Anolis sagrei: one gene and its partners. The protein of the gene in region 3 purifies or fractionates together with the protein of the main gene of each other region. This does not show direct contact. Links are inferred from orthologs where the notes say so. Each region holds a gene or a part of one and is shown on either strand. Other genes may lie near its edges.

Evidence for each region. Proteins that work in one complex are often made in the same cells at the same time.
Region 1: the proteins of COPB2 (region 3) and COPG1 purify together in Homo sapiens (co-immunoprecipitation; 8 studies listed by BioGRID and IntAct, counting the BioPlex papers as one, with this or other methods). This does not show direct contact. The link is inferred for Anolis sagrei from reciprocal best matches to the Homo sapiens genes COPB2 and COPG1.
Region 2: the proteins of COPB2 (region 3) and COPZ1 fractionate together in Homo sapiens (co-fractionation; 6 studies listed by BioGRID and IntAct, with this or other methods). This does not show direct contact. The link is inferred for Anolis sagrei from reciprocal best matches to the Homo sapiens genes COPB2 and COPZ1.

Annotation. Positions count from the first base shown.
Region 1 is NC_090022.1:56,476,842-56,484,226, forward strand, and holds the start of COPG1 (coatomer subunit gamma-1), read right to left. Parts: upstream 3,006-7,385; 5' UTR 2,791-3,005; coding exon 2,754-2,790; intron 1-2,753. UniProt on the Homo sapiens protein: The coatomer is a cytosolic protein complex that binds to dilysine motifs and reversibly associates with Golgi non-clathrin-coated vesicles, which further mediate biosynthetic protein transport from the ER, via the Golgi up to the trans Golgi network.
Region 2 is NC_090022.1:188,474,498-188,481,555, forward strand, and holds the start of COPZ1 (coatomer subunit zeta-1), read right to left. Parts: upstream 3,006-7,058; 5' UTR 2,918-3,005; coding exon 2,900-2,917; intron 1-2,899. UniProt on the Homo sapiens protein: The coatomer is a cytosolic protein complex that binds to dilysine motifs and reversibly associates with Golgi non-clathrin-coated vesicles, which further mediate biosynthetic protein transport from the ER, via the Golgi up to the trans Golgi network.
Region 3 is NC_090023.1:229,602,819-229,610,677, forward strand, and holds the start of COPB2 (coatomer subunit beta'), read right to left. Parts: upstream 3,003-7,859; 5' UTR 2,892-3,002; coding exon 2,889-2,891; intron 503-2,888; coding exon 365-502; intron 1-364. UniProt on the Homo sapiens protein: The coatomer is a cytosolic protein complex that binds to dilysine motifs and reversibly associates with Golgi non-clathrin-coated vesicles, which further mediate biosynthetic protein transport from the ER, via the Golgi up to the trans Golgi network.

The sequences.
Region 1 (7,385 bases), on a different chromosome or scaffold from region 3:
TGTTGATCCCTGGAGAAACATCAACCACAAAAGTCTGCATAATTTGGGCCCATTTATTGGATGATAGGGATATCTCTTCCTTAGTGTGTATAGGCAACTATATACTATGGAAGGGTATATTCCTTTGAGGTGCTCTGTACTGAGGAGTGAAAATACATCTTCCATAACTACACACTTGTCCCCTGTTCTCCATAAAGAGATTTGTCAATACAGGTTAAGCATCCCTTAGCTGTATTTCCAAAATCCCCCAAAATCTGAAATTATTCACATGAGCAGCTGAGAGAGTTGCTTTCCAATGAGCTGATGTATAAAAACATTTGTTTCATCTTAGACAACATTGTATTAAACTAACTCCAGATTATGGATTAATTGTTAATTGATGCTTCATGCACAAAATTATTTTAAAATATTGGGTATCAAAATTAACTTCAGGCTATATGTCTAAGGTAAAGGTTTCCCCTTGACATTACGTCTAGTTGTGTCCAAGTCTGGGGGTTGGTGCTCATCTTCATTTCTAAGCCAAAGAGCTGGTATTGTCCCTAGACATCTCTAAGGTCATGTGGCTGACATGACTGCATGGAGTGCCGTTACCTTCCCGCAGGAACTGTACCTATTGATATATGCACATTTATGCCTGTGCTGGATGGGGTCGCACTCCCCTTGAAGGCGCAGGTTCGCAGCTTGGGTGTGACCCTGGACTCATCGTTGAGCCTGGATCCCCAGGTTTCAGCGGTGACCAGGGGAGCATTTGCACAGCTCAGGCTCGTGCGCCAGCTGCGCCCGTATCTCGGGAAGTCTGACTTGGCCACGGTGGTACACGCTCTGGTCACATCCCGCCTTGACTACTGCAACGCTCTCTACGTGGGGCTGCCCTTGAAGACGGCCCGGAAGCTTCAGCTGGTTCAGCGCGCGGCAGCCATGTTACTAACTGGAGCGGGAGGCAGGGAGCACACAACGCCCTTGTTGTCCCAGCTCCACTGGCTGCCGATTTGCTACCGGACCCAATTTAAAGTGCTGGTTTTGGCCTACAAAGCCCTAAACGGCTCCGGCCCAAAATACCTTTCGGACCGTATCTTGGCCTACGAGCCCACGAGGACCTTGAGATCGTCTGGGGAGGCCCTTCTCTCGATCCCGCCTGCCTCACAGGCACGTCTGGCGGGGACGAGGGAGAGGGCCTTCTCGGTGGTGGCCCCCCGGCTGTGGAACACTCTCCCTGCAGACATCAGACAGGCACCCTCCCTTATGTCCTTCCGAAAAAGCCTTAAGACATGGCTGTTCGAGAAGGCATTTAATTAAGTGCTATAAAAATGTGGTAAAGACGACTGGAAAGGAACAAGGAATATGAGATTGGTTATGATTCCACTATGAGACGAAGCGGATTTTTAGTGTAATTTTGTAATTGTTGTATTGTTAATATGTTGTTGTAATTGCCTCTTGGTAAATTGCCTTTTTATATGTGTTGTACACCGCCATGAGTCGCCCTAAAGGGCTGAGAATGGCGGTTAATAAATGCATCAAATAAATAAATAAATTTACATGTTTTCGATCTGCTAGGTTGGCAGAAGCTGGGGCTAACAGTGGGAGTTCACCCTGCTCTCTGGATTCAAACTGCTGACCTTTGGGTTGGAAAGTTCAGCAACTCAGCAGTTTTACCCGCTGAGCCACTGGGGGGACCCCATAAGGTGTATATGAAATATAAATAAAATTGGTGTTTCGGGGTGTGTCCTGTCTCCAAAATATCTCATGTACATTTATTTATTTCTATCCCGTTCCTTCTCAACCCCCGAAGGGGGACTCAGGACGGCTTACATTTGGCAGCAATTTGATGCCACTACATATAACAGAGCAATATAATAACAATTAAAACAATAAGTAAAACATTCATTAACACAGTAAAAAACAGTATTAATAGCCGTATCATCATTCCAGTCAATTCCATATCCAATTCCATGTCCAAAGTACTATCTATGTCTGTTGTCCAAAAGCCTGGTCCCAGAAACACAACTTCAATTTCTTCCTAAATGACAGGAGCATGCCAAAAACATAATAATAATAATAATAATAATAATAATAATAATAATAATAATAATGTTGTTGATGTCACAATCCCAGATGACAGCAGGATTGCAGAGAAACAACAGGAAAAGCTGACACAATATGAGGATTTAAAGATCGAACTGCAAGGACTCTGGCACAAGCCAGTCAAGGTGGTCCCAGTGATGATTGGCACACTGGGTGCAGTGCCTAAAGACCTTGGCCTGCACTTAAACACAGTCGGCGCTGACAAAATTACCATCTGCCAGCTGCAGAAGGCCACCTTACTGGGATCTGCACACATTATTCACCGATACATCACACAGTCCTAGTGCTTTTAGAGTGTTTAGGCTTGAGAAGGGACTGACATGTGATCTAATTAAACAGCCAGCAGAATAATCTTATCTGCTGTGGACTCATCTTGTTGTGTTTCAAATAATAATAATAATAATAATAATAATAATAATAATAATAATATCTAAAATCCAAACTACATCTGGGGAGCATCTACGCTATGATGTTAATACAGTTTGACACCACTTGAACTTTCCTAACTCAATGTTGTGGAATCATGGGAGTTGTAGTTGCCAAAGAGTGATGGTGGCTCACCAAACTGCAGCTCCCAGGATTCCATAGCATTGAGCCAAGGCAGCTAATGTGCTGTCAAACTGCATCAATTCTCCAGTATAGATGCACCCATGGTCCCCAGCATTACTCACCGGATTCCTCATCCTTTTTGTCGAATTTTTTCAGCATCTTGTCCCTTGGCAGAGGAGGGGTGGTGGAAGAGGAGGCAGACAACTCACCAGGAGGGAGGGAAGGGGAAAGGGCCCAAATAGAGAACAAGAGGAGGAGGAGGAGAAGGCAGCACCTGGCTCTGCCTGCAGCCCTGAAGAGTTCTACTTCCTGCCCGGGCGCCACTTCCTGCCAACATGACAACCCTGACTGGGCTCAGCTTTGACAGAAAGGCGCATGCGCACGCTGCGCTGGTGAGGCCCAAAGAGGGCTTACGTGGCTGACAGTGCGAGGGCGGAGCTTAGGGGAAAGGCGTGTGACGTCATCGATCCCTCAGCCAATAGCAGCGGGGAACGCTTCGTGGGGCGGAGCCATTGGAAGACCAAGCGTAGAACGTTAAGAATAGCACCTTCCCCCCCCTTCAACCCTGGAATTGTGGGAGTTGAAGTCCAAAACATCTGGAGGGCCGAAGTTTGCCCATGCCTGGCTTATGGGGAGGTGGGCAGAGTCTGTAGGAATGTCACACTATTCAGGTTGTTTTGCCCTTTCCTTCCTTTGAAAGATAACCTCCTGCCTAACTTCCTAGATCCACCAGAATCTAGTGCTTTTAGAGTGTTTAGGCATCGGGTTGTTGTAGGTTTTTTCGGGCTATATGGTCATGATCTAGAGGCATTTTCTCCTGACGTTTCGCCTGCATCTATGACAAGCATCCTCAGAAGTTGTGAGGTCTGTTGGAACTAGGGAAAAGGGTTTATATATCTGTGGAATGACCAGGGTGAGACAAAGGACTCTTGTCTGCTGGAGCTAGGTGTGAATGTTTCAACTGACCACCTTGATTAGCATACAATGGGTTGACTGTGCCTGGAGCAAACTTTTGTTGAGAGGTAATTAGATGTCGCTACCTGCTTCCTCTCTGTTATTGTGCTGTTGCAATTTTAGAGTTTTTTTTAATACTGGTAGCTAGATTTTGTTCACTTTCATGGTTTCTTCCTTTCTGATGAAATTGTCCACATGCTTGTGTATTTCAATGGCTTCTCTGTGTAGTCTGACATGGTGGTTGTGAGAGTGGTCATTCCACAGATATATAAACCCCTTTTCCTAGTTCCAACAGACCTCACTACCTCTGAGGATGCTTGCCATAGATGCAGGCGAAACATCAGGAGAAAATGCCTCTAGACCATGGCCATACAGCCCGAAAAAATCTACAACAACCCAGGGATTCCGGCCATGAAAGCCTTCGACAATATGTTAGGCATCATTTGGGAAGCCCTGTGGCATCAAATAAGATATCTCTGTATAATTTGCATTCAAAATAAGAGCTGAAAATAAACTTAATTTTGTCCTGTTTAGCAGTATGTTGGGAACAGTGTTTTTCTTAAGTGGAAGAGAAGGAAAACTTCCTTTCTAAGCACCTTCCATAAAGTTAACACCTTTTAAGGACTCCTTTTTATTGATCAGGCAGCACAAATAATTTGAATTGTTTTTCAGGGGGAAAAATTAAGTGGAAAGGTGAAAGAAAAAGAAATCCTACTCATTCTGATCAATTTGCATTCTTAAGGTTGTCATCTGTCTTTTTCTGGTAAGGTTTAATGCTTTTGAAAGCTTTTCCATTATGTTATTTCTATTTATTTATTTTATTTTGCTACTGTATGCATTTCATTCTGATGTAATTTTTGTTGTTTTGTATTTTGTATTTTATTTTGCTGTATTGTATGGCCATGAAATCAGAAGACGCTTACTTCTTGGGAGGAGAGCAATGTCCAGTCTCGATAAAATAGTAAAGAGTAGAGACATCAGACTGGCAACAAAGATCCGCCTAGTCAAAGCCATGGTATTCCCTGTCGTAACCTACGGATGTGAGAGCTGGACCTTAGGGAAGGCTGAGCGAAGGAAGATAGGTGCTTTTGAACTGTGGTGTTGGAGGAAAGTGCTGAAAGTGCTTTGGACTGCGAGAAGATCCAACCAGTCCATCCTCCAGGAAATAAAGCCCGACTGCTCACTGGAGGGAAGGATACTAGAGACAAAGTTGAAGTACTTTGGCCACATCATGAGGAGACAGCAAAGCCTAGAGAAGACAATTATGCTGGGGAAAGTGGAAGGCAAAAGGAAGAGGGGCCGGCCAAGGGCAAGATGGATGGATGGCATCCTTGAAGTGACTGGGCTGACCTTGAAGGAGCTGGGGGTGGTGACGGCCGACAGGGAGCTCTGGCGTGGGCTGGTCTATGAGGTCACGAAGAGTCGAAAACGACTGAACGAATGAACAACAATTTTATCTTTGGGCTTGGCCTCATGTTAACTGCCCTGAGTCCCCTCCGGGGAGATGATGGCAGGGTATAAATAAAGATTATTATTATTATTTTACTGAAACAAAAACACAGTATGTCACAGCAAACGAGATATACGTATATACTGGATTTCATATCACAAAATCACAAGCCGAACACTTCCCAAGCGTCTAGGACTGTGTGATATATTATTATTATTATTATTATTATTATTATTATTATTATAATTATTATAATTATTATAATTATTATAAATACAACAAGTTGAGTCCACAGAAAACACTCTGCTCGCTGTTGTATTGGATCACACGTTGGACACTTCCCAAGAGTGTAGGACTGTGTGATGTATCGGCGAATAATGCGTAGAGATTCCAGTAAGGTGACCTTTTGCAGCTGGCAGATGGTAATTTTGTCAATGCCAATTGTGTTTAAGTGCAGGCCAAGGTCTTTAGGCACTGCACCCAATATGCCAATCACCACTGGGACCACTTTTACTTGCTTGTGCCAGAGTCTTTGCAGTTCAATCTTTAAATCCTCATATCACCACTGGGACCACCTTGACTGGCTTGTGTCGGAGTCTTTGCATTATTATTATTATTATTATTATTATTATTATTATTATTTTGTGGACAGAAATCCAATATGAGGAGAGGAAGGGTAAAAAATAAAATAATTATAATTGTGTTGTCAAAGGCTCTCATGGCCAGAATCACTGGGTTGCTGTGAGTTTTCCAGGCCGTGTGGCCATGTTCCAGAAGCAGTTTTTCCTGACATTTCACCCACATCTATGGCAGGCAACCTCAGAGGTTGTGAGGTGTGTTGGAAACTAGGCAAGAGTTCTTTCTCCCACCCTGGATATTCCACAGATATATAAACTTCACTTGCCTAGTTTCTGACAGACCTCACAACCTCTGAGGATGCCTACCATAGATGTGGGTGAAATGTCAGGAGAAAATGCTTCTGGAACATGGTCATACAGCCTGGAAAACTCACAACAACCCAATAATTATAATTATTTTTTCATTCATGTAGTGTCCTTTTCTAAAGTTGTATATATAGTCACCTTAGGACTTTCCATTTGTTCTGAAAGAGACAATAAATTTTTCTGCAGTTTCCTGACCAGTGTGGCTTGTAAACCATGGCTAGGAAAAATGTGGCCCTCCAGATGTTATTACAGTGCCACATCCATCTTCCCGCATCACTGGCTATGATAAGTAGCACAGGTGGGAATTGGCATTCTGGAGATTGTGAATGATATTTGTCTAGATTTAAATCATTCTGACAACACAGAAAGATCAGACTGTGATGAAAATGACATTACACTCAAGTCTGGCTAGATAACTAATTTCCAGATTTGGGGTGCACGCACACTCAAGACTTAATGCAGTTTGACACCATTTATTAATTTACTATATTTATATACTGTCTTTCTCACCCCTGGGGAGACTCAGTGCAGTTTACAATATATTAATGGCAAAGATTCAATGCCAACATACAATAAAAAAAGAGATCATGATAACTAATTACTACATAATAACTAATAACTATGACTTAAAATAATTAAAACTAAACATAAGGCATAAACAAAATGTAAACATTCAGGTGACGCATTAAAATCATCCTAGTATAAATATTAAAATCACATGATCCAAAAATCGTGCACCATAGCCATTCCGATCGTCATTGCACATGTTCCTTAATTATTCTTTGTATTGCATTATTTTACTTGCCAAAGGCTTAGTCCCACAAACATGTCTTTGTTCTCTTTCTTTAACTGCCCTGGCTCAATGCTATGGAATCCTGGGAGTTGTAGTTTGTTGAGACATCAACACTATCCAGCAAAGAAGGCTAACGATCATGACTGTAAACCCACAACTTCCAATAACACACACTATTGAACCGTGCATTTAAGATGGCATCAAACTGGATTAATTCTACAGTGTAGACACACCCTTAGTCCCTGGATGTTGCTACGTTTCAACACAAGGATGCCTCAATCAATGCGATTAGCAATCAGGAATGATGTGAGTAATAGCCTTATCTAGGAATCCATATTGGGAATCTTGATCTCACCACCACCTGAGTTTGTTGCAGCTTGGATCTGAACAACAGAAATGAATGTGTTGATATCCTAGTATTAACGGGTTACAGAGGCCTTCCTTAACTTGCTGTCCACGTCACTGGCCTGGTGATTTAGGAATGATTGAAATTGTCCTCACAACCTCTGAGGATGCCTGCCATAAATGCAGGTGAAATATCAGGAGAGAATGCTTCTAGAACATAGCCATATAGGCCGAAAAACCTACAACCCATTGAAATTGTCGTCTAACT
Region 2 (7,058 bases), on a different chromosome or scaffold from region 3:
AAGACATATGAATGAGTCCTAGAGCAAATCAAACCTGAACTCTCCCGAGAAGTCAAGATTGCTAAACCGAGACTGTTATACAAATCATGAGAAGGTATGACTCATTAGAAAAGACAGTAATGCTTGGTAAGGTGCAAACACTTAAAGACAAAGTCCACATTCCAGGTGGTTAGACTCAAGCAAAAAAGCCACCAACTTGAGCCTGAAAAATCAGATGAGGATAGAGTGAATTGGTGGTCTCTCATTCATAGGGTTGCCATAAGTCAATGTACAGTTGGCAACAGTTAACAGCGAAGTCCATAATCTGTACAGAACTAATAGCTCAGCAACTAAACAAGGCCCCATCTAAACTGACAATTTAATTCAGTTCAATGTTCGATTCAAACTGTAGCTGCCTGATAACAAACTCCTACAAAAGTACACAAAAGAAAGCCCTTAAGCTTTGTGTAGTCACTATCCGGGCCTCCAACTGGTTCCAGGATTTCCTGGAACCAGTCAACACTGGTTTGAAACTGCATTAAACAGTCATTGTAGTTTGGATATTCTATGAAGTAAAGATAAGTCTACAACAATCATATGTGTATGGCATCGCAATCTTAAGAATGTAGTCTAAAGCTGTAAGATATAGGACACCAGCAACCTTTCCTCCTAATGTGCAATGGATTGGCCCAATATTTGTGCCCAATGACAACTGTTTCTTATTTTCCTAGACCCTCTCTAACTTGCAGATCAGCACCAGCCCATGGACTACTGCTTTGGACAACACTGCCTCTAAGTCCTGTAATAATCAAATGCTTGGTGAGTCATGTTAACTTCAGCAGTGGACACATACACACAGCCCTCATTAGTAATTGTCTGAAGCCCCAGCATTTCCTATAACAGTTTCAGGTTCTTTTAATATAGGGTTACAATGCTGCATTACAAATGAACACAAGCAACAACTTCTATGGAGGATCTCTGTGAGGAAAACTAACCAAGGCCCCTTCCACACAGCTGAATAAAATTCCACATTATCTGTTTGAACTGGAATATATGGCAGGGTGGACTCAGATAACCCAGTTCAAAGCATAAATTGTGAGATTTTCTGTCTTGATATTCTGTGTTTTATGGTGATGTGGAAGGGCCCTAAGGCCTCATCTACAAGGCCATATAATCCAGTTTCTGAATCCAATTTATCTGTTTTGAATTGTTATATGTTATATGGCAGTGTAGACTCATATAATCAAAAGCAGATAATCTGGATTCACAAACTGGATTATTTGGCAGTGTAGATCCAGCATAATGGGAGACCAATTATGGTGACAGGTTGAGTATCCCTTATTTGAAAAGCTTGAGACAAGAAGTGTTTTGGATTTTGGAATAGCTGTATTTGAATATACACCCAACATGTGGTATCTTCAAAAGCAGGGATCCCAATCTAAACATGAAATGTATATACATTGCTGGTGGTATTTTAAGCACAATATTTTTAATAATGAAAGTAAGTTCACAGAACACAGTTTGTCTGTACATAAGGTTTTAAATTCTCTGTGTTATTGTTTATATGTGAGTTATATTAATTGCACTGTTTATTTGCTTGCTGTTTTGGTTTTACTGATGTGTTGTTGGGCTTGGCCTCATGTAAGCCACCCCGAGTACCCTTGGGGAGATGGTGGTGGGGTATAAATAGTTTTTTTAAAATTATTATTATTATTATTATTATATTGTCTAAACTGAAGCACCCACAAAGAGGACAATGTCTCAGGTACTCAGGTGGATAATTTGGGAGTATTTCCAGATACCCAACAAGGGATGCTCAACCTGTACCAGCTGATGGACTCTTCTCTTGGGAGTGATCTCCCTTTTCAAGGAGGCACAATTGAGATGAATAACATAGAATCATAGAATCAAAGAGTTGGGAGAGACCTCATGGGCCATCCAGTCCAATCCCCTGCCAAGAAGCAGGAATATTGCATTCACATCACCCCTGACAGATGGCCATCCAGTCTCTGTTTAAAAGCTTCCAAAGAAGGAGCCTCCACCACACTCCGGGGCAGAGAGTTCCACTGCTGAACGGCTCTCACAGTCAGGAAGTTCTTCCTCATGTTCAGATGGAATCTCCTCTCTTGTAGTTTGAAGCCATTGTTCCGCATCCTAGTCTCCAGGAAAGCAGAAAACAAGCTTGCTCCCTCCTCCCTGTGACTTCCTCTCACATATTTATACATGGCTATCATCTTTTTGGATTGGCCGATTTGTTTCGCCTGTCACCCATGGGGATTGGAAGATGCTGGAGAAATGTAGTTCCTAGTTTATAGGGAGCAAAGGGGCACTTTATTCCTGCCTTATAATAGTTGGGAGTTCAAAGGATCCATTCACTGCAGAGGCAATGAGTGCCTTGACTAGACTTAAAAACAGTTTTGTCTTCACATTTCTGCTCTATGGTCATATAGATAAGGCTACCTCTTCAGCTGCCACGGCTCCCTGGGAGTTGTAGTTTTACAAGGCCTTGCCAATGGTCCTCAACATGTAGGTCCCCAAATGGGGCCTTCAACTCCCAGAAATCCTAACAGCTGGTAAACTGGCTGGGATTTCTGGGAGTTGTAGGCCAAAACACAATGGTTGGGAACCATTGCTTGGGCCTTCTTTGGCCAGAGGGCTGGGACCTCACCAAACTACAGCTCCCAGACTCCACAGCATTGAGCCATGGCAGCCAAAGTGGCGTCAAGCTGTCTTTAATTCCATAGCGGGGGAAGCGGCCCCTCTGTTCCCTGCTGGAGGCCCCCTTCCCAGCCCAGGCCCGGACCCAAGGAGGCCCCCAGCAACCGGCGACGGGCCCCGCCCACCGGGTCCCGTCTCCATGGCGACGGCGCGCGCCCTCGCAAGGCCCCTTCTCCCCCTCTCTTGCCCCTCCGGCTCCTACCAGGATCAGCGCCTCCATCTTGGTCGCTTCTGATGCCGACGTGGAGCACGGACCTAGCTTGCACCGGATTGGCTGGCCTCGGGCCCGTCTCTCCGTTAGGCCCCGCCTTCGCCGCGCTGAGCGACTGCTGATTGGCCGCCTCTCGACTTCCTCGTCTAACCTGCCACCTCTTTCACCAGGGCTGCCTTTTCCCTCACTGCACAACAGGGAGGGGGCGTGGCTCGCCTTGAAGCCCCGCCTCCGTTTGTGATTCGAAAACGAAGCTGTCACTCACTTGCCCTCGCTTCCCAGCTACAGGAAGGAAAGAATGCGCCAGTTTCCATGGTGAAGAGGGAAGCTCTTAAGGCAGAGGCAGGATTGGGGCCTGGCTCAGACACGTGCTTGAAATTTATTTTATTTTTATTTATTTGTCGTGTCAGGACAACCAGTCAAATTATATTACATTTCTAACAGAACAAAGCAAACAAACAGACAAAATACAAAATGTGTGAGTTTGGTCGTTGATTAAATGTCCTTTGACCAGTATCTGGCCACTTGGAGTGCCTCTGGTGTTGCTGCAAGAAGGTCCTCCATGGTGCATGTAGCAGGGGTCAGGTTGCATTGCAGCAGGTGGTCAGTGGTTTGCTCTTCTCCACACTCGCATGTCGAGGATTCCACTTTGTAGCCCCATTTCTGAAGGTTGGCTCTGCATCTCGTGGTGCCAGAGCGCAGTCTGTTCACTCAGTTTTCTGTGTGCCCAGGAGGGAGTCTCTCATTTGGTATCAGCCATTGATTTGAGGTTCTGGGTTTTAGCCTGCCACTTTTGGACTCTCGCTTGCTGAGGTGTTCCGGCGAGTGTCTCTGTAGATCTTAGAAAACTATTTCTAGATTTAAGTCATTGATGTGCTGGCTGATACCCAAACAGGGGATGAGCTGGAGATGTCACTGCCTTGGTCCTTTCACTATTGGCTGCTACTTCCCGGCGGATGTCAGGTGGTGCAATACCGGCTAAGCAGTGTAATTTCTCCAGTGCTGTAGGGCGCAGACACTCCGTGATAATGTGGCATGTCTCATTAAGAGCCACATCCACGGTTTTAGTGTGGTGAGATGCGTTCCACACTGGGCATGCATACTCAGCAGCAGAGTAGCACAGCGCAAGGGCAGATGTCTTCACTGTATCTGGTTGTGATCCCCGGGTTGTGCCAGTCAGCTTTCGTATGGTATTGTTTTTAGCACCCACTTTTTGCTTGATGTTCAGGCAGTGCTTCTTGTAGGTCAGAGCATGGTCCAGAGTGACTCCCAGGTATTTGGGTGCGCTGCGATGCTCCAGTGGATTCCTTTCCAGGTGATCTTCAGAGCTCGGGATGCTTCTCTGTTCTTGAGATGAAAGGCACATGTCTGTGTTTTAGATGGGTTGGGGATCAGCTGGTTTTCCCTGTAATAGGCAGTAAGAGCACCTAGAGCTTCGGAAAGCTTCTGTTCTACCATCTCAAAGCTCCCTGCTTGAGCAGTAATGGCACGATCGTCAGCATAGATGAAATTCTCTGTCCCTTCTGTTTGAAATAATATCATACGAAAGCTGAATGGCACAACCTGGGGATTTATTTATTTAGTGTCAAAAGCATTGCATAAATTAGTATCTATATAAATAAAAATATAATGTTCGTTTGTGGGATTAACATAACTCAAAAACCACTGGATGAAATGACACAAAATTTGGACCCAACACTCCAAACAGACCAATGAGTGACCATCACTCATACTCCCCATCCAAAAAAAAAAAAAAAAAACCAGTGGAAAGGACTTAAAACCTCCCAAAAGATAAATGACGAAAAGATAAATTACATACAGAAAAAAAGGGAAGGAAGAGGGAGAGAAGGAAGGGGAAAAGAAAGAAGGAAACAAAGAGCGAAGGACGGAAAGGTAGAGAAGGAAGAAAGAGGAAGGATGGAAAGAAATGGGGAGAGAAAAAAGGAAGGAGAGAAGGAAAGAAAAGAAAGGAAGGAAAGAGGGAGCGAAGGAAGAAGAGAAAGAAAGAGAAAGAAGGAGGGAAGGAAAGACAAAAGGAAGGAAGGAAGCAAAAAGCAAAGGAAGGAAGGAAAGAGGCAGAGAAGGAAGGAAGAAAGGGAAGGAAAAGAAAAAGGGAGGAAGGAAAGCAGAAGAAGGAAGGAAGGAGAGAAGGAAAGAAGAAAAGGGAAGGAGGGAAAGAAGGAGAGAGAGGGAGTGAATGTTGGCCACAGCAACGCGTGGCAGGTACAGCTAGTCAAACTGATAAAAATAGAAAGAGCGCAGGCGGCTAAATATCTTTTGACTAAAAATGGGCCTCCAACAATTTTTCCTCTGTACATGAGGCAGGGCATAGTGGACAAGCATACAGATGCAGAGTTGTATGTTCACACAAGGTGTGGGATTCTTTTAGTTAGTGCCATTTTGCCAGATTATCTTTTGATCTGCCCACTCCGCTTCTGAGTCTATTCAGGGACTTCCAAGTTGCCCGCTCTTGGAGGAAGACCCTCATGGAGGCCATCCAGTTGGAATTTCTTCGTTTAGCTGCCCAGAGGGATACCCTTGCTGTTGCTGGGGGGACGCCAAGAGGAGTGGTAGTTTTTTTTGGGGGGGGGGATAGCTTGTAGAGTTTGTCAACAGGTGTAAGCTTAAGACATCCTGTGATTATTCTGCATGTTTAGTTCAATGCTATGTTCACCGGCTTTGCATGGGCAGACTTATGCCAAACTTATTCCAAACAGGGCAGGCAAGGCATACTCGGCAGTTGAGTTAGACAAGGCTAGGGCTGATGTTCTTATTAATTTTGGGTCTGCACCCCATGTTCTGCCAGCACATTTCCGCAGGATGTTATTGTGTGCAGCTACTTCGTGCTTGGTGTTCAAGCAGTGTTTCCTATATGCTAGTGTTCGATCTAAGGTGACACCGAGATATTTAGGATGGAAACAGTGTTCAAGCCCTTGACCTTCTCTTGACCACAACCTGGAGATCACAACCAGAGACAATGAAGGCATCTGCCCTTATGCTTTGCTACTTTGCTGCTGAATACGCATGCCCAGTGTTATTATTGTTATTATTAATAATTATTTATTACAGTCTATGACCAGCACACTACAGAATGGAGCCCAGGGGTCCAAGGAAGGAAATCGCAGTTCCCAAGTAAGTCAGATAAAAAAGCAGATTTGTAGTTTAGGGAAGATCCAAGCAGTCCATAATCCAGGAAATAAAGCCTGACTGGAGGAAAGGATAGTAGAGGCAAAAATGAAGTACTTTTGCCACATAATGAGAAGACAGGAAAGTTTGGAGAAGACAATGATGCTGGGGAAAATGGAAGGAAAAAGGAAGACGGGCCGACCAAGGGCAAGATGGATGGATGGTATCCTTGAAGTGACTGGCTTGTCTCTGAAGTAGCTGGGGGTAATGACGGCCGACAGGGAGCTCTGGCGTGGGCTGATCCATGAGGTTACAAAGTCAGAAGCAACTGAATGAATAAACAACAAATATTAAAAGATATAAAGCTCATAAAAACAGTTCAACTAAAATAATACACCACTCCCAAAGCCCATTAATTAAAACATTTAAAAGCCTACCTGAGCAAAAAGCCATCAGACTAAACTACAAGACTGTAGAATTAATGCAACTTGATATCACTTTGGGCCCTTCCATACAGCCCTATATCAAGGCAGAAAACCCCCACATTATCTGAGTGTGGATTGAGATAACCCAGTTCAAAGCAGATATTGTGAGATTTTCTGCCTTCTGGGATATAGGGCTGTGTGGAAGGGCCCTTTGACTGTTGTGGCTCAATGCTATAGAATCACATGAGTTGTAGTTTTACGTCTTTAGCTTCTCCAACAAATAATGCTGGGGGCTCACTAAACTCCAACTATCATGATTCCATACTATAGAGCCATAGCAGCTAAAATGGAGTCAAACTGCATTAATTCTACAGTGTAAAAGAGCCCCTCTTGTGTCCCCACCAACAATGCTTGTGATGATGGTGGGGCTGTGAAGGGCTCCTTCTGATGATCTTATATTATGGTACATTGTTTCCAAGCCTTTGTGCTGTTTTTGTTTTGTTTTGGTTTTTTTTGTCATCAAAAAACAGGGAAATGCCTCTTTGAGAGGTTAGAGGCAGTAAGAGGTTTTTTCAGCCCCAATATGCAAGTGTTTAGGA
Region 3 (7,859 bases):
TAGACCTTACATTACTAATTTATGCAAATGTCTTTTAAAACCACCTAGACATGAAAAGCCACATTAAAATTTAGAATTTTCAGAAAAAGAAATAACTTACAAAAAAGTAAAAAAAAATGCTAAGGGAGAAACACTTACTTAATAAATCTTGGTCAGGGAATTAACTGAGAAAATGGCATAAGAAGTGAAATTATATCGATGTAATCGAGAAAGATGCTGTAATTGCTGTTAAATTTGGGGAAAAAACCACCACTGTGATTTTGACAACAGAATTCTTGCACCACATTTAATGGTGACCTCACATGTAGTAGCACACTAAAAAAACTATGGTTTTATAATCAACAAGTCTTATATGAAATCTTACCTGTGTTTCATGATTCCAGACACAGACACTGCCATTGTAAAGACTAGCCAACATCCATGGCTCTGTAGGATGTAAGTCTACACTTTTCACACGGTCAGATCGAGCTGTGAGCTTACGCTTTATATCAAGTCGGAGAGGCTAAAAAGAAGACAGTTGTTTAAGATATTTATGTCACAAGAAGGACCAATTCGAAACAACCAGTGATATTTATACAAGAGACACATTGCTTTGACCTCAACACAGTCAAAATCTTTCAGATATTGGCTTGAGTAACTCAAGAATCCATTCCAAACCAATACATACTACAAACGTGAACACATCTTTACTAGTCTCCACTGAAATATTCTTATGCAAAGCAAACATGCTGCCATATATCCATACTAAAGAGCTGGAGACTGTTTTGAATGCAAGATTTTTGCAAATATGAAAACTGTTAAGGAGAGATCCAAGATCTGGACGAAGGAGGCTACTGCCATTTTATAAAGTGGAACAGATAAAAAGGCAATATCATGTCCTTCATAAACTATGCACAACTTATATTAAAGTATAGAAAGGGAATGAAGAAGCATCAAGGGGATAGCTGTAATAAGTTAAAAATAGGCTAAATGTTCCTTAAGAACATTTATTTTTGTTTACAACAAAAAATATTAAGTTCATTTCAGACCTGTTGCTAACCACAATTGACAGGTCTGGACAAAATGAGCCACCACACATTCTTGACTGCTGGAGGTATTAATAATTATTGTTCTTTCTTAGGAAATGTGAATTAAAGCAAGAACTCAAGCATTTCCCTGAAATTGTACACATCCACAGATTAGTGGATCAAACAATAGATTGTGTAAACTCAGAGAATTTGCTTCTTTTGTTGCAACTTACTGAGTTGCTGCTTTCACTAAGATATTCACCATGACACATATTTGGGTCTCTACCTCACGAGGGCAGAATTGCGGGTTCTGAAATTTTAAAAAGTGGATTCTGATAAACCATTATGAAGACTTTCTTTTTACGTACACTTTTCGGACAGCAGAATGTTTCCAAAAGCAGTTGGCTCACCTTCATTAGAGATTTCTAATCAGAGATCAGTTGGTCATTTATTAGGGATGCTGTAATAGATGCTGCATCTCCAAGACAGAGTAAGGTATCATCCTTTCTAAAACACTGAATTGTGACTGTGCCCTCCAAAAAACTCTTTCCTGGTTAGCCACAACCAATTCTAACCCTATTGTGGGAGTTGATGTCCAAAACATCTGGAGGGCCCATGTTTGCCCATGCCTGATCAACAGTGTAGAATGAATGGAGTTTGATACCACTTTAACTACCATGGTTAGATGCTGGATGAGGCTTTTTAGTCTTTTCTGTTAAAGAATGCTGATGCCCTATCAAACTAAAACTCCCATGACTCCATTGCATTGAACCATAGTGTCAAACTGCATTCATTCTATGCTGCAGATGCCCCTAAGGGCCCTCCCACACAGCCCTATATCCCAGAATATGAAGGCAAAAAAAAAATCCCACATTATCTGAGTGTGGACTCAGATAATCCAGTTCAAAGCAGATATTGTGGATTGGGTTGTTGTAGGTTTTTCGGGCTATATGGCCATGTTCTAGAAGCATTCTCTCCTGACATTTCACCTGGATCTATGGCAGGCATCCTCAGAGGTTGTGAGGTCTTAGAATCTTAGAATCATAAGAGTTGAAAGAGACCTCATGGGCCATCCAGTCCAACCCCCTGCCAAGAAGGAGGAAAACTGTATTCACAGCACCCCTGACAGATGGCCATCCAGCTTCTGTTTAAAAGCCTCCAAAGAAGGAGCCTCCATGACACTCCAGGGCAGAGAGTTCCACTGCTGAACAGCTCTCAGTCAGGAAATTCTTCCTAATGTTCAGATGGAATCTCCTTTCTTGTAGTAGTAGCAGTAGTAATTTTATTGATTAGCCCTTAGGCCATATCACAATAAGAAACAGAACAACAAGGCCTTGTAGTTTGAAGCCATTGTTCTGTGTCCTAGTCTCCAGGGCAGCAGAAAACAAGCTTGCTCTCTCCTCCCTATGACTATGTCTCACATATTTATACATGGCCCTCATCATGTCTCCTCTCAGCCTTCTCATCTTCAGGCTAAACATGCCCAGCTCTTTAAGCCGCTCCTCATAGGGCTTGTTCTCCAGACCCTTGATCATTTTAGTTGCCCTCCTCTGGACACATTCCAGCTTGTCAAGATCTCTCTTGAATTGTGGTGCCCAGAATTGGACACAATATTCCAGGTGTGATCTGACCAAGGCAGAATAGAGGGGTAGCATGACTTCCCTGGATCAAGACAGGTCTTGTGGGATTTCCTGTGGGACATAGTGGGATTTCCTGGCTTGATATTCTTGGACATAGGGCTGTATGGAAGGGCCCTTAGAAAGGCCTTTCTCTCCCCCTTTCCCTCCCCAAACATCCATCCCTGCCCGAGGAAAAGGAGGGGCTCTGCAGAATGCCAAGCCAAGGCCCGTCTTGAGGAGGCCTTCAGGAGCCTGGACTCACCATGGCTTCAGCTCCCGCTCAGGGCTGCTTCAACCTCCCGAAGCTCCCAGGTTCGCTCACTGCCCAATTCACCGACGTGGAGCTTCCGGCTTTGGCTGTTCTCGCGAGAAATCCAAGCCAACGCGAAAACGCCAACTCAATCACTTCCGCCCAGTGCTCTTCGTTTGCGGAGGGAGGGAGCGAAAGAGACACAATAGATCTACGAAACGTATAGACTGCCCATTCATAGGGTTATTGAGGTTCTCCTTTTGGAATTATTATTATTATTATTACTAGCCATCCCCTGCCACGCGTTGCTATGGCCATGTCTAGTGATCTGGGAAATAAAGTAACGAGAAAGTGTTGGTTTCTAATACATGTAATTTCTTTATGCTTGTGGGTAAACAGTATTTCTTGTTGTTTCTTTGTCAGTGTTGATGTGGAGAGTGTCTGATTTGCCTTCTCTGGAACATGCAACATATAATTGTCCTTTTTTAGGGGTCCCTTTCAAATCTATGATACTATATTTGATACTATATCTCTCTGTGTGTGAATCATATATATATATATATATCTACATCTATGGCTGGATGGCTCTTTGTCAGGAGGGCTTTGATTATGTTTTCTTGCCCTGGTGAAGGGAGTTGGACTGCATGGCCTTAAGTATTTTTTGTTGGTCATGGGGGTTCTGTGTGGGAAATTTGCCCCAATTCTGTCGTTCGTGGGGTTCAGAATGCTCTTTGGGACCTTGACTCCCAAATGTCAAGGTCCCAACTCCCAGTAACTACAACTCCCCCAAGCTCCATCTGTGTTCCTAGTTGGGCATATGGAATATTCGTGCCAAGTTTGAACATTATGAACATTACATTTTTATTTATATAGACCAGACGTCCCCTCCCATGCATTGCTATGGCTCAGTCTTGTGATCGGGAAAATAAAGTAATGAGAAAGTGTTGGTTTCTAATATATGTAATTTCTTTATGCTTGTGGGTAAACAGTATTTGATTATGTTTTCTTGCCCTGGTGAAGGGAGTTGGACTGGATGGCCTTAAGTATTTTCTATTGGTCATAGGGGTTCAGTGTGGGAAGTTTGCCCCAATTCTATTGTTCGTGGGGTTCAGAAAGTTCTTTGATTGTAGGTGAACTGTAAATCCCAGTAATTACAACTCCCAAATGTCAAGGTATATTTTCCCCAAGCTCCATCTGTGTTCCTAGTTGGCCGTATGGAATATTCGTGCCAAGTTTGGTCCAGAGCTATCCTTGTTTGAGTCCACAGTGCTCTCTGGATGTTGATGTACTACAACTCCCAAACTCAACGCCAATGCCCAGCAAACCCTTCCAGTATTTTCTGTTGGTCATGGGAGTCCTGTGTGCCACGTTTGGTTCAATTCCATCATTGGTGGAGTTCAGAATGTTCTTTGATTGTAGGTGAACTATAAATCTCAGCAACTACAACTCCCAAATGACAAACTCTATTATTTTTTTTTTGAGTGATGGTCACTCCTTGGGTTAGTAGGTGCCTTGTGGCCAAATTTGGTGGCAATTAATCCAGTGGTTTTTTGAGTTATGTTAATCCCACAAACGAACGTTACATTTTATATAGATTACTAGCCACCCCCTGCCACATGTTGCTGTGGCCCAGTCTTGTGATCTGGAAAATAAAGTAAAGAGAAAGTGTTGGTTTCTAATATATGTAATTTCTTTATGCTTGTGGGTAAACAGTATTTCTTGCTGTTTCTTTGTCAGTGTTGATGTGGAGAGTGTCTGGTTTGCCTGCTCTAGAGCATACAACATAGAATTGTCCTTTTTTAGGGGTCCCTTTCAAATCTATAGTTGTGTGTGTGTGAATCATATCTATATCTATGGCTGGATGGCTCTTTGTCAGGAGGGCTTTGAGTACGTTTTCTTGCCCTGGTGAAGGGAGTTGGACTGGATGGCCTTAAGTATTTTCTGTTGGTCATGGGGGTTCTGTGTGGGAAGTTTGCCCCAATTCTATTGCTAGTGGGATTCAGAATGCTCTTTGATTGCAGGTGTACGATAAATCCCAGTAACTACAACTCCCAAATGTCAAGGTCTATTTCCCCCAAGCTCCATCTGTGTTGGGCATATGGAATTCCTAGTTGGGCATATGGAATATCCGTGCCAAGTTTGGTCCAGATCCATCATTGTTTGAATCCACAGTGCTCTCTGGATGTCGATGTACTACAACTCCCAAACTCAATGTCAATGCCCAGCAAATCCTTCCAGTATTGTCTGTTGGTCATGGGAGTCCTGTGTGCCATGTTTGGTTCAATTCCATTGTTAGTGGAGTTCAGAATTCTCTTTGATTGTAGGTGAACTATAAATCCCAGCAACTACAACTCCCAAATCACAAACTCAATTTTTTTTTAGTGATGGTCCTTGGGTCACTAGGTGTCTTGTGGCCAAATTTGGTGTCAATTCATCCAGTGGTTTTTGAGTTATGTTAATCCCACAAACAAACATTACATTTTATTTATATAGATAATAATTATTATTATTTTACTGTTTTACTGTATTCATCAAGAGCTGTCTTTTCCCCCAAGGAACTATTTAACAGCTTCATGACATCCATACTTAGCTGGAAGCAAGTTCCGCTCAAGGTGAAGAATTCTTTTAAATTCAAAACCATTTTATGCCCTATTGATTCTTCCATTTCCTTCTGTACCTTATTATAAAATTTTTGTACTCTGTCACATTTCCACCAGTATAGGAGCCATTTTTTCCACATCTGTGCCAACCCAATTTTGAGGTTGATTTAGTTATGTGTGCTAATTTAATTGGGGTTCTGTACCATTTAGTCAATATTTTCCTTTGTGTTTCTCTAATCCTTATGTACTTGATATGTTTAATTGAATTGATTGATCCAGTATTCAGTGTCTGAATCATTGTTATTCAGGTCCTCTTTCCATATCTCTACCAATATTTGTTTCAATTTATATCGATTTCCAACAAATTTCTTGTATATTAAACCCATCAGGCCTTTCTCCTTTTCTAATTTTAACTTTAAAATTAGATCAAAATCTGTTTCTGGGCCTTCATTTTTCCTCCAATTCATGATCCTTTGTTTCAGTCCATTCCAAAGAAGCCAGTTACAATGACAACAATTGTCCATAATTGTCTCATCTGGGTTTAGGAAATCTCTTATCAATTTTTATCCATTTTGTTTTAAATTTGTAGGCTGTTAGGAATTGTGGGAGTTGAAGTCCAAAACACCTGGAGGGCCAAAGTTTGCCCATGCCTGCTCTAGATCATCTTAACAGTTCTACTACTTTTTCAAGAAACTTTTGTATACCTGTGTTGTCCTATTACTGGGTTTTTTGTTATCTGCTTTTTATTTTTAAACTTCTGTCTTTCAGTGTGATTGTTGCACACAGGCACACAAACGAATTTCTAATTCATGCTTACAGCACATACTGCATTTTATGTTTGAATTGTAGAATGATCACAATGGTGTCATATCATTGCACAACTGGGACAAACCCTGCGGTTTGTGTTAAATAATGTATTTCAACTTTGCCTTTGATGAGCCCTAGGCTATACTTGTAAGGCTTAATCTTAGCTATTATGCTTTGTAGTTTAAATAAATTCCTCTGAATCCAGTGGACTGGGAATAAAGCTACTATTTTACATACATATAGCCTGAATATGATCTATTGAAAACAGTGAGACTTTCTTCTGAGTAGCTGTGCACAAGATTTTATTTTTTTTCCTTATTTTTTTATTTAACAGTTGAAAATCTTCATTAGGTAGAGTCATTGCAGTAGTGTCATTTCGTAAAGACATTTTTTGAATTCAGCAGGAGCAGAACTTGTTTCAAAGTGTTATCTGATCCTTTTTATAAAAATGTAACAAGATTTTTAGAGAGATAACATGGAAGTTGTATCAGTCTTAAGAGTGGCTTCCACAATCATTAGAACCGACAGTCAAGGATTCTAGGATCCAAAATTCAACACTGTAGAACCCACAGCTTAGTACCACTAATCTAACAGTTCACTCCAAGGGTGCATCTACACCAGTGGTTCCCAGCCTTTGAGCCTCCAGGTGTTTTTGACTTCAGCTCCCACAGTTTCTAACAACTGGTAAGCAGGCTGGGATTTCTGGGAGTTGAAGACCAAAACACCTGGCGGCCCAAACCATTGAGCTACACTGAACAATTAATGAGAGTTGTAGTTTTACAAGGTCTTTAGCCTTCTAAAGAATGCTGGTGCCCAAACAAACTGCAGCTTTCGAGATGTAATATATTACCCAATGGTAGGAAATCTGGGATCTGTAGTTTGGTGAGGCCCCAGATTCTTTGCCGGAGAAGATGAAAGACCTTGTAAAACTACGACTTCCATAGTTCTACAGTATTGAGCCATGGCAGTTAAAGTGATGTCATATTGCATTAATTCTACAATATTGATGCACCTCTAGTCCTATTGCATTCGTTTATCACAATTCTTATTTTCAGTAGGACCTAATTCTCAGGCATGTAAATACAGAATTACAGCTTCAGTAAATTAATCCATCACAACAAATACCAGCTACAGTGTATACAGTTTTTATAGCTACTTAATCTTAATTGTTGCTGCAGAGGTTGCACTTATAGGCCTGTATCAATACTGTAGAATTAAAACAGTTTGACCCCACTTTAACTGCCATGGCCCAATGCTATAGAACCCTGGTATTTGTAGTTGGTTGAGGCATTAGCACTTTTTGGCAGATGACTTTGTGAAACTACAACTCCTTGGATTCCAAAGCATTGAGTCATGGCAGTTAAAGCGGTGTCAAACTGCATTAATTCTACAGTGTAGATGTATCCTAGGGTAAAATATCTGAGGCTTCCCTAATTGCTGCTAAAGTGTACTAAGAACTTTCATCATACCCAGCCAGGCCAGTCAAAAGATTTCATAGATTTTGAGCTTATCTATGTTGAAAGTTTGGAACTGCCTTGTAAAAATTCCATCCCCTAGATTCTAGGTCTTACACTAT